Linked DNA regions of Arabidopsis thaliana. The protein of the gene in region 1 interacts with the protein of each later gene in a biochemical or structural test. Each region holds a gene or a part of one and is shown on either strand. Other genes may lie near its edges. The genes, in order: LRR XI-23 and PIP1A.

Region 1 (6,065 bases):
GGCGTGGAATCAATTATTTATGTCTCCACCTAATCAGAATATGACAAATGAATACTCGCAACATAAACATAAAAATAACGCTCTAATGATAATTCTTTTTTTTTATTGTTTTATGTCGGAAAAAGAAGAGTCCACCGAGAAAAAGAGCCCTCAAACAAATTTGAACATGGCAATTATGGAGCGGCAGAATTTAATTATTAGTCCTATAGTCGATATATTATTGCATTACCTAATGTGTACACACACAATATAAGGTTGGTTAATTTGGTAATCAAACTAAAGATTTAGAATGAAAATTTCCTTTTAAAAAAATAGCCATTTGTTTTGTTTTAAGATAAGAGCTAAGACATATAACTACTTCCTAATTAACTTTGGAAAAAAGTATATTGTCGCAAGTTGCAACTCTTGTGCCATAAAAAGCAAGTGTTCAACACATGTTTATAGTGATGCCTCATCAACAGCTCAATTAAATTGAAACGTAAGTATAATACACAATCATCTACATATTTTTGCAGACATTTTAGCAAATAAATCGTAGAGTTGAACTTATTTACAACTCAATGTCATTAGCATTAAATCTTTTTTCCAAAATAATTCATTTTACTTTAAATTCTTAATTTAAATTGTCAATCACATTATCAATCAAATTTAATCCAAACAAACTTCCCATCAATCCTTTAAAATTAGCATAAACGTATTTGTTAACAATATTTAAAACAAAGTTTTTGTTTAAATAAATATTATTCTTACTAAACGTTTTTTGTTTAAATAAATAAATCCTGTATTTGAACTTATTTACAATTTCATGCTACTGGCATTAATTATTTAGGAATGAAAATATTTAATTAAAGATTTAAATCTTCTAAATCCTTGCTTTTAGATTTATTATGTCATTACCTAAAAGGCAAAAACTATTAGTTTTTTAAATATTATTATTTATATTTTAAATTTTTTTAACATTACTAATATTTAAACTTATAAAAAGTTTAATATATCAAAAAATCTTAACATCATTATATAATATATAGAGTTTTTAAAAATCTCAAATTTTTTTCCGTCATATTTTGTGATTCAAAATTTAAAAAATGAACATATATTAACCAATTGGCGAAAAATATGTGAGTTCAACGTCCCATTTTGACTAAAATATTTAGAGAATGATTCATAAACATATCATAAATAAGATCAACATTAACAAAATAAATGGTTTTTTTTTTTGCGGGACGAGTTTGGCAGGACGTTACTTAATAACAATTGTAAACTATAAAATAAAAATATTTTATAGATAGATATAATATATAAATTTTTATATATATTAACTTAAAAAAATAAATTGTCCTGCGGTATACTGCAGATTAAAATGTATATTAATACTTACGACGGACGTGTACAAAATATTATATAGCCCCAAAAATAGCGCTGCATATAAAAACCACATCTACCTAAGCCTACCATGTAGTGTAGTTGCATATAAGACAACTATAAATTAATAATGTAGTTTAATATTTTTTTTGGATTGGTTTCTTTGTTTTTGGTTAAGTTTTTTTTTCTTGGGGGTATAATGATTTTAGTTAAGTTTTGTTTAAGTTTCCTCAATGACAAAGGTACAATTTCGGCGTTACGTCTAGTCTAAAATAATCTATTAACAAAAGAATGTACTTAATTAGTCAATACTCTACTCAATAGTAGGATATCGTTTCAGTTTTGTATGTGGATTTTTTTTTAAATTTTTGAAAAATTCTATTCAATTTCAATAAAAAATTTCTGAGGATAGTCAATGAAAACCAAAAAAGCCATAATAATAATAATTATAAAGTAATATATCAAAACGCTCATATAATATTCCACATACATTTACTGTATAATCAGAAAACTAAATAGTATAGTTATCAAGGGTCCCTCTTAATAAAACCAATATTATTCAACTAAGATATACTTTATTTATTTGGAGATAATTTAATTTTCGTAAGCACCATATAAAAAAACAATGACGCAAATTATTATTTTGTTTATGTGATAAATAAAGAAATATAAAACGAGAGAAAACAAAAAGAGTGAGTGATAGTGATTACAAAGGTAAGCCAAAATTTGAATATTTAATGGATACCACCAGATAAGAAGAACTTTGCTTCAAAGCGGCAAAGCTTAAGCTTTTTTCTCGCGCCCGCCTCTCTCTCTCTCTCTCTCTCTCTCTCTCTCTCTCTCTCTCTCTCTTCTCCTCTAACCAAATTTCCCGATGTGAAAAAACAAGTTTCCGATCAACTCAAACCACCGTCACCACTTCTTCTCTCCGACATGGCTCCGTCGTTAAGGAATTTCAACTTCTTTCACCGCTTCTCCACCTTCCTCGTCTTCTCTCTATTCTCCGTCGTTTCTTCCGACGATCTCCAAGTCTTACTCAAGCTCAAATCATCATTCGCCGATTCCAATCTCGCCGTGTTCGATTCCTGGAAACTGAACTCCGGTATCGGTCCTTGTAGCTTCATCGGAGTAACCTGTAATTCTAGAGGCAACGTTACAGAGATTGATCTCTCTCGTCGAGGTTTATCTGGGAATTTTCCATTCGATTCGGTTTGTGAGATTCAGAGTCTCGAGAAACTCTCTCTCGGATTCAATTCACTATCTGGAATAATCCCCAGCGATTTGAAAAACTGCACGAGTTTGAAGTATTTGGATCTCGGCAACAATTTATTCTCCGGTGCTTTCCCTGAGTTCTCATCTTTAAATCAGTTACAGTTTCTGTATCTCAACAACAGCGCTTTTTCCGGCGTCTTTCCGTGGAAATCGCTCCGAAACGCAACGAGTCTCGTCGTTTTGAGCCTAGGCGATAATCCGTTTGATGCGACGGCTGATTTCCCGGTGGAGGTTGTTTCTCTGAAGAAACTCTCGTGGCTTTACTTGTCGAATTGCAGTATCGCCGGAAAAATTCCACCGGCGATTGGAGATTTGACGGAGCTTCGGAATTTGGAGATTTCCGATAGCGGATTAACCGGAGAGATTCCGTCGGAGATTTCGAAACTTACTAATCTCTGGCAGTTAGAGCTTTACAACAACTCCTTGACCGGAAAACTTCCTACCGGATTCGGAAACTTGAAGAATCTGACTTACTTGGACGCTTCAACAAATCTTCTACAAGGCGATTTATCGGAGCTTAGGTCTCTGACTAATCTCGTTTCACTACAAATGTTCGAAAACGAATTCTCCGGTGAGATTCCGCTGGAGTTTGGTGAATTCAAGGATCTCGTGAATCTCTCTCTGTATACAAACAAGTTAACCGGTTCTCTGCCTCAAGGACTCGGTTCACTTGCTGATTTTGATTTCATCGACGCATCAGAGAATCTCTTAACCGGACCGATCCCTCCAGATATGTGCAAGAACGGGAAGATGAAAGCTCTGCTTCTCCTGCAAAACAACCTCACTGGCTCTATCCCTGAGTCCTACGCTAACTGTTTGACTCTGCAACGGTTCAGAGTTAGCGAGAACAACCTCAACGGAACTGTTCCCGCGGGACTTTGGGGATTACCGAAGCTCGAGATCATCGATATAGAGATGAATAACTTCGAAGGTCCAATCACCGCGGATATAAAGAACGGTAAAATGCTCGGAGCGTTGTATCTAGGGTTCAACAAGTTGTCTGATGAGCTGCCTGAAGAGATAGGTGACACTGAATCTTTGACTAAGGTTGAGCTTAACAATAACCGGTTTACCGGGAAGATTCCTAGCTCCATTGGGAAACTCAAAGGACTTAGCAGTCTAAAGATGCAGAGCAATGGCTTCTCCGGTGAGATACCTGACTCGATTGGTTCGTGCTCGATGCTCAGCGATGTCAACATGGCTCAAAACTCGATATCCGGAGAAATCCCCCACACGCTTGGATCACTCCCGACGCTCAACGCTTTGAATCTTTCGGACAATAAGTTGTCTGGGAGAATCCCAGAGAGTTTGTCGTCTTTAAGGCTTAGCCTTCTTGATCTGTCTAACAACAGATTATCAGGTCGTATCCCTCTGAGTTTGTCATCATATAATGGTAGCTTCAATGGCAATCCTGGCCTCTGTAGCACGACGATCAAATCGTTTAACCGGTGCATAAATCCTTCGAGATCGCATGGAGACACTCGCGTGTTCGTGTTGTGTATAGTTTTCGGGTTACTGATCTTGCTAGCGTCTCTTGTGTTTTTCTTGTACCTGAAGAAAACAGAGAAGAAGGAGGGACGTTCGCTTAAACACGAATCTTGGAGTATAAAGTCATTCCGAAAGATGAGTTTCACTGAAGATGATATCATTGATTCAATCAAAGAAGAGAATTTGATTGGTAGAGGAGGTTGTGGGGATGTGTACAGAGTAGTACTTGGTGATGGTAAAGAAGTTGCGGTCAAACACATCCGGTGTAGTAGTACTCAGAAAAACTTCAGCAGTGCAATGCCGATTCTCACTGAACGGGAGGGAAGATCGAAAGAGTTTGAAACAGAGGTGCAAACGCTTAGTTCGATACGACACTTAAACGTGGTGAAACTCTATTGTAGCATCACGAGCGATGACTCGAGCTTGCTGGTGTACGAGTACTTGCCTAATGGAAGCTTATGGGACATGCTTCACTCTTGCAAGAAGTCGAATCTTGGTTGGGAAACACGGTATGATATAGCTCTTGGTGCAGCAAAAGGGCTTGAGTACTTGCATCATGGGTATGAGAGACCGGTGATTCACCGTGATGTTAAGTCCAGTAACATATTGCTAGATGAGTTCTTGAAACCTAGAATTGCGGATTTTGGTCTTGCCAAGATTCTTCAGGCCAGCAATGGCGGTCCAGAGTCCACGCATGTCGTTGCGGGAACCTATGGCTACATAGCTCCAGGTATATAAAGAGACTTAACTCTTATATCATCAGCTTGTTATGGCCTTACATTTTGAAATTACAATTTGACAGTAAAAAATATTGTTGCAGAGTATGGATATGCGTCAAAAGTGACTGAGAAATGCGATGTATATAGCTTCGGGGTCGTGTTGATGGAGCTAGTCACAGGGAAAAAACCGATAGAGGCAGAGTTTGGAGAGAGCAAAGACATAGTGAATTGGGTGAGCAACAATCTGAAGAGCAAAGAGAGTGTGATGGAGATTGTGGACAAGAAGATAGGAGAAATGTATAGAGAAGACGCGGTCAAGATGCTGAGGATTGCGATCATCTGCACCGCAAGACTTCCTGGACTAAGACCGACGATGAGGAGCGTGGTGCAGATGATCGAGGACGCGGAACCTTGCAGATTGATGGGGATTGTGATCAGCAAAGAGAGTGATGTCAAGGTCAAAGAAATAAGTTGATGATTGAGGGACCAAGTCACTCTTTTGGGGTCTGTTTTGTTCACAATGAAACTTAGGGAGATCGAGTAAAGTGGATCATCTAAATCTATTAAGACGTACGTAAGAGTTTAGATGGAGAGTGTTGTAATACTAGTACTCCGGGTTATGAAATCATAGGTGTTGTAACGATCTCATTGTAAACTATTTTCTTGTAATTGTAGAATTTTAAGGTTTTCAAATGTTCATGAAGGTCAACTACTAAATGAAATTTATGGTCCTTATATGCACCTATACTATTACTTTGCTAAGAAGTGTATATTCGACTGGGTAAAACAATGTCTATAAAACTTGCAATCAATCAGTTTTTAATCAGAGTTATATTTATTTCTGCGTGAGGATGATTTTATTATATTATTTGATTCAGAAAATTCTCAAAACGAAACCAAATTCAAATTGGATTCTTGGTGTGATGACATAGACCAATTATTATTATGATATCCTCTCCTGTGATTTCTAAAAGTTAGTCAAATCTACGTATGCTCAAAAACTTTTGTAGTTGCCCACTTTGACCAACTTAATAAAAGAAAGATGAAGAAATTTAGACACCTCATGGCCTTTTGGCTCCACTAATAAGAGATTCAAAGCTTCCTTTGTTGAGAATGCATTTATGTTTAAACTTTCATCTACTGATATTTACTGATTTAGCCAAAAAAAAAAAAGATACTATCAGAAAGAAGACAATAATGCTTAAGCGAAAATTGTATAATTCT
Region 2 (4,847 bases), on another chromosome or scaffold:
TTTATTAGGCTCCTCTTCACATTTAGCAAGGGCCTTAGCTGTTCATAGCACAATTGGTTACAGCAACAACACCACGAAAGAAACACAGAAAAAATACTTAAAATGAATCAATAACACCAAATCATGGCACGTGGAGCTTACTGATGAAATCACGACAAGCATGCATGTCAGGATAATTTTCAAACTCAAAGATATGACTCCTTCCCTGTAATAATCAAAGACGAGGAAACTTCAGTGATACACCTATCAATATTTTTTAGCCTTGAGCAAAAAGGGCCGAGGAAAAACAACCTGCTTGCTGGTCAGATTGAGCCAAGGAGGTTTATTTGATCCTTCTTTGGTATATTTCTGACCTGAGAAATTTAACATGGCACAATAATCATTTAGAGAAATTATTCATGATAAATCTGAATGAACAATATGGATAATCAAACACTTACTTTTGATGTTGTGAGTCTGAACTTTAAGCTTCAAATCTGATTTAGGATCATTTGGGACAAAGAGCAGCATCACTTCACTCTGAGAACAAAAATTGGAAGATCCTTTGAGAAAAAAACCATTGAGTAAGGAAACAAAAATAGAAATCATATAGTGGCAAAGAGTTAAAGTATTCTTACTAATTCGAGGGATCCAAGAGTTCCTGGATCCTTCACAAAGCTCTTGTATTTGACTCGCTTCTCCATTGATATATGCCCAAGGTTCTAAAGCATGGTAAAATTGGTGGATTAAGTTTGTGAGCCGGAGGAGGTAAGGAGTGTCGACGGCGGAGGAAATATTTGAATCTGGCGGAGGAGAACGGCTAGCGTCGGCAGATCAGACAAAAATAGCTAAATAATTTGGGAATTTTGTTAATTTTAAGTTCGAGAGATAATGAGGTGGTTAGAACCACGTGTACGAGCCGTGATAGCTCATGTCTTGAGATGGTTCAACAGTTCACACCCGAAGTTGATGAGTCTCAAGAGCCACGTGTACGAGCCTTGTTTAACCGGGCCTGCGATCAATAGTAGTGTTGTTAGCTTAAGCCCGTATATGTATGGCCCATTTATTGTCTCGAGCTAAAAGTCGCAACTTTTTTTTATTGTTTTTTTTTAGTTTATTATAGGCAGACGATAACATTTGTCTTATTAATTTCATGTTAGGAGGACATTGGTAATTTTCGCTTGTTTTTTTGTGTTTGGTCAATGAATATTTTTTTTTTTTATGGAGCCGTGACGCAAATGGGGGTGGCTAGGTGGGGCAAATGCAATCATGAATAGCAGCCACAATAAAATTAATAAATTGATCGAGTACATATGTCATAAGATAAATGGTCGGTTTTGGATATGTAAGGCGCCGGCATTAGGTGGTATGACTCCACGTATCTTATCGTCGATGCATTGGACGGCTATTAAATAATCAGTCTCCAACATAAAAATTCCAAAATCACACTTCACACATTCTTTTATCATGTCATGAGGCTTAATGGGTCGGTCTTTTTTTTTAGTGGCTAGTGATTTTAGCTGATGTTTCAACATTTTGGTTTTAAGTGTTTCTATTTTGCAGCTTAAATATACATATAAAAATAATAATTTAAAGATTGAAGGTCCTCAAATCGTGTAAATGTGGATTTTTAGTTTGAGAAAGTATCTCACATGAGCCTTTTTTATCATTAATTACTTAATTACAGTGTCAAAATGATTGATAAGGAGTTGGAAAATACTAGGTGGTAATCAAGATGGCCCTTGGATGCTACAAGAGCGTAGGGCCATAGGGCCCATTCCAGAACAATATAGCAACCACTAAGCATGTTTTTGTTTTCTTTAACATTGTCTTTTCTATTTGGCAATTAGTACACTACTTACGTTTTGTGGTAGGAACAAATAATTTGTAATCTTGGCACAAACCAGTGCTTTGTAACTTTGATGATAGAAAAAATTTATTCACTAGTTCGATAACGATTATCAATCATCATAAATAAAAAAAGTTAGTTTAGACGATCATGAAGAGAGAAAAAACAGAATTATTGGTACTATCTCTTAATTTCCCAACTCTGTAGGTACACTCATTAATCATTATGGAGAATGTCATAGTCATGGTACATAATGAATGTGCATGGTGCTTATGGTACAGATGTTCTTAACTTCTTATCCTGGCTGGCAAACGCCAGATCATCTCAACTGGAGGATCATGTTTTGTTCGTAACAGTTAGTAACTAACCAAATTAGTGACAATCATGAGGGATTATTAAAAACAGACATTGATCTATTTTTGATTAGAAAACATTACTGATAAAACTACAAAAATAGCTGGAATGGAGCATTCAAAACTCTGTCCAAAGTCCAAACGGTTAAATTATCACTGACCCAATCCAATAATTAGATTTATTTAGTAAGTATGATTACTACGAAGATAACATTAACAAAATTTTATGTTATTGTCAATTTGTCATCATCGTCTTTATTTTTTATTTCTCAACTTTCTTTGCATTACATCTTCCAACTATATAATTAACCACTCTACTTTCTCAAATCCCACACTCAGAGAAGAAGAAGAAGAAAAAAAACAGAGCTTTACAATTTCTCTCTACAGAGATCGAAGATATGGAAGGCAAGGAAGAAGACGTTAGAGTTGGAGCTAACAAGTTCCCGGAGAGACAACCAATCGGAACATCAGCTCAGAGTGACAAGGACTACAAGGAACCACCACCAGCTCCGTTTTTCGAACCTGGTGAGCTTTCTTCATGGTCTTTTTGGAGAGCTGGGATCGCTGAGTTCATCGCTACTTTTCTCTTTCTCTACATCACTGTCTTGACTGTTATGGGAGTGAAAAGGTCACCGAACATGTGTGCTTCCGTCGGAATCCAAGGAATCGCTTGGGCTTTCGGTGGTATGATATTTGCCTTAGTCTACTGTACCGCTGGTATCTCCGGTAAGTCACTCTACTTCTCCAAGTATACGCCTTTTTACTGTAATTAGGTTTCCGAGTGTTTGGGTTGTGAAAGAAGACGATAAAGCTATAATCTTGAGAAAATTGTGTTTAGATTTATAGCTTCTTAGCCTGAACTTGTTCCATTTGTATCTGATTCAAGAAATCTCAGAAAGCTACAATCTTGGTGGAATTTGCAGTTTTCTAATATGAATTGTGTCCTTTAGCCTAATCTTGGAATGTATTTTTTTTATATGTAACTCTCAGGTGGACACATCAACCCAGCGGTTACTTTTGGTCTGTTCTTAGCCCGGAAGCTGTCGCTTACTAGAGCTCTGTACTACATAGTGATGCAGTGCTTGGGAGCTATCTGTGGTGCTGGAGTGGTTAAAGGGTTCCAGCCTAAGCAATACCAGGCTCTAGGAGGAGGAGCTAACACTGTGGCTCATGGTTACACCAAGGGAAGTGGTCTTGGAGCTGAGATCATTGGCACATTCGTTCTTGTATACACAGTCTTCTCAGCAACTGACGCCAAGAGAAATGCTCGTGACTCTCATGTCCCTGTAAGTTACCACTCCTTGTAACATATCTGCTAATAGCTTCTTGAAACAATTGAAATGAGTGAACTTTTAAGCTGCCTTTAGTGTGACTCTCATGTCCCCGTAAGTAACCAGTCCATGTAACAATTGCTAGAAACAATTGAAATGAGTGAACTTGAAGCTGCCATTAGTGTGCACTAAAGACTGATTCTCAATATTGGATTTGTTGCTTACCGGCTTGAGTTTTGTAATAATTGTGCAGATTCTTGCACCACTCCCAATCGGGTTTGCGGTTTTCTTGGTTCACTTGGCAACCATCCCAATCACTGGCACAGGCATCAACCCAGCTAGAAGCCTTGGAGCTGCAATCATCTACAACAAAGACCATTCCTGGGATGACCACGTGAGTTTCCACACACTATATACCAAATCGCATTCCAAACTCGGTTTCGAGCATTTTTCCCTGACAATTTCGTTTTTTTTTGTCGTCATTCCAGTGGGTGTTTTGGGTTGGCCCCTTCATTGGAGCTGCACTTGCTGCTCTTTACCATGTGGTTGTCATCAGAGCCATCCCCTTCAAGTCCAGAAGCTAAGTAAAAACAAGACATCAAGTCCTCTGGTTTCTGGCCTTGTCCTTAGTTGCTTCTATAGTTCTATTGTTGATCTACTACATGTATGTGTGCAATGTGTTTATCTATGTGCCCTCTTAATGCAATATTTGTAAACAAGGAAGAAGTTCCAAAGGAGAATTATTTGCAAATTATGATGTTTAACATGTTTATTACAGATCAAAGATGTTTAACATGGATATTGGTAAACGAGAACCTATATAAACCCAAATTAAGATGGTCTATCACCGCTTAACCGGTTAGGTATTGTAATGGTATTTTAAACGTGTCAGTGTCACCAACCTCGCCTAAATCCTAATGGAATTGAGACACAGCCACCAAAAACCATCAGAAAAATGGTTCCATTTGTCAAATACTTTTCAACAAAGCACGAAGATTCCTTGACCGATAGAAAAAAGTAAACTGTATAAGAAAAGAAGTTAAAAATTTACTAGAAACAGGTGTAAGAAGTTGACTGTAAGTTTGATCATTCCACGAGTACGAATAAAACTCTGACAAGAACACTTCACTTACCACAAATCCACAATTACTTTTCTCACATAGTTCCAACAAGCAACTTGTATTATTATATTCTTAACACCAATGGTAATGGATGATGATGCAATGTATTTGTCTCGTTTTCTCATCCATTTATATGATTGCTTTCTTCTCCACCTCACCAATCACTCCTCCTCTAAACTTTTCTTCACTCTCTTGTCTCTTCAAACTTCGGTTACTCCGTTTTAGTCGACAACAATGGCCTCTGTTTCAAGGAGGTTACTGAGGAGAGAGACGA

What was found.
Region 2: the proteins of LRR XI-23 (region 1) and PIP1A interact in a test that uses a peptide from one of them, tested with the Arabidopsis thaliana proteins (one study listed by BioGRID).

What each region holds. Positions count from the first base shown.
Region 1 is NC_003070.9:3,250,113-3,256,177, forward strand, and holds LRR XI-23 (Leucine-rich receptor-like protein kinase family protein), read left to right. Parts: upstream 1-2,204; 5' UTR 2,205-2,295; coding exon 2,296-4,852; intron 4,853-4,939; coding exon 4,940-5,316; 3' UTR 5,317-5,542; downstream 5,543-6,065.
Region 2 is NC_003074.8:22,731,078-22,735,924, forward strand, and holds PIP1A (plasma membrane intrinsic protein 1A), read left to right. Parts: upstream 1-2,165; 5' UTR 2,166-2,579; coding exon 2,580-2,907; intron 2,908-3,171; coding exon 3,172-3,467; intron 3,468-3,705; coding exon 3,706-3,846; intron 3,847-3,940; coding exon 3,941-4,036; 3' UTR 4,037-4,317; downstream 4,318-4,847. Other genes in the region: AT3G61420 (BSD domain (BTF2-like transcription factors, Synapse-associated proteins and DOS2-like proteins)), read right to left, coding at 1-38, 142-205, 292-353, 441-519, 618-683; CYSC1 (cysteine synthase C1), read left to right, coding at 4,808-4,847. UniProt on the Arabidopsis thaliana protein: Water channel required to facilitate the transport of water across cell membrane. Its function is impaired by Hg(2+).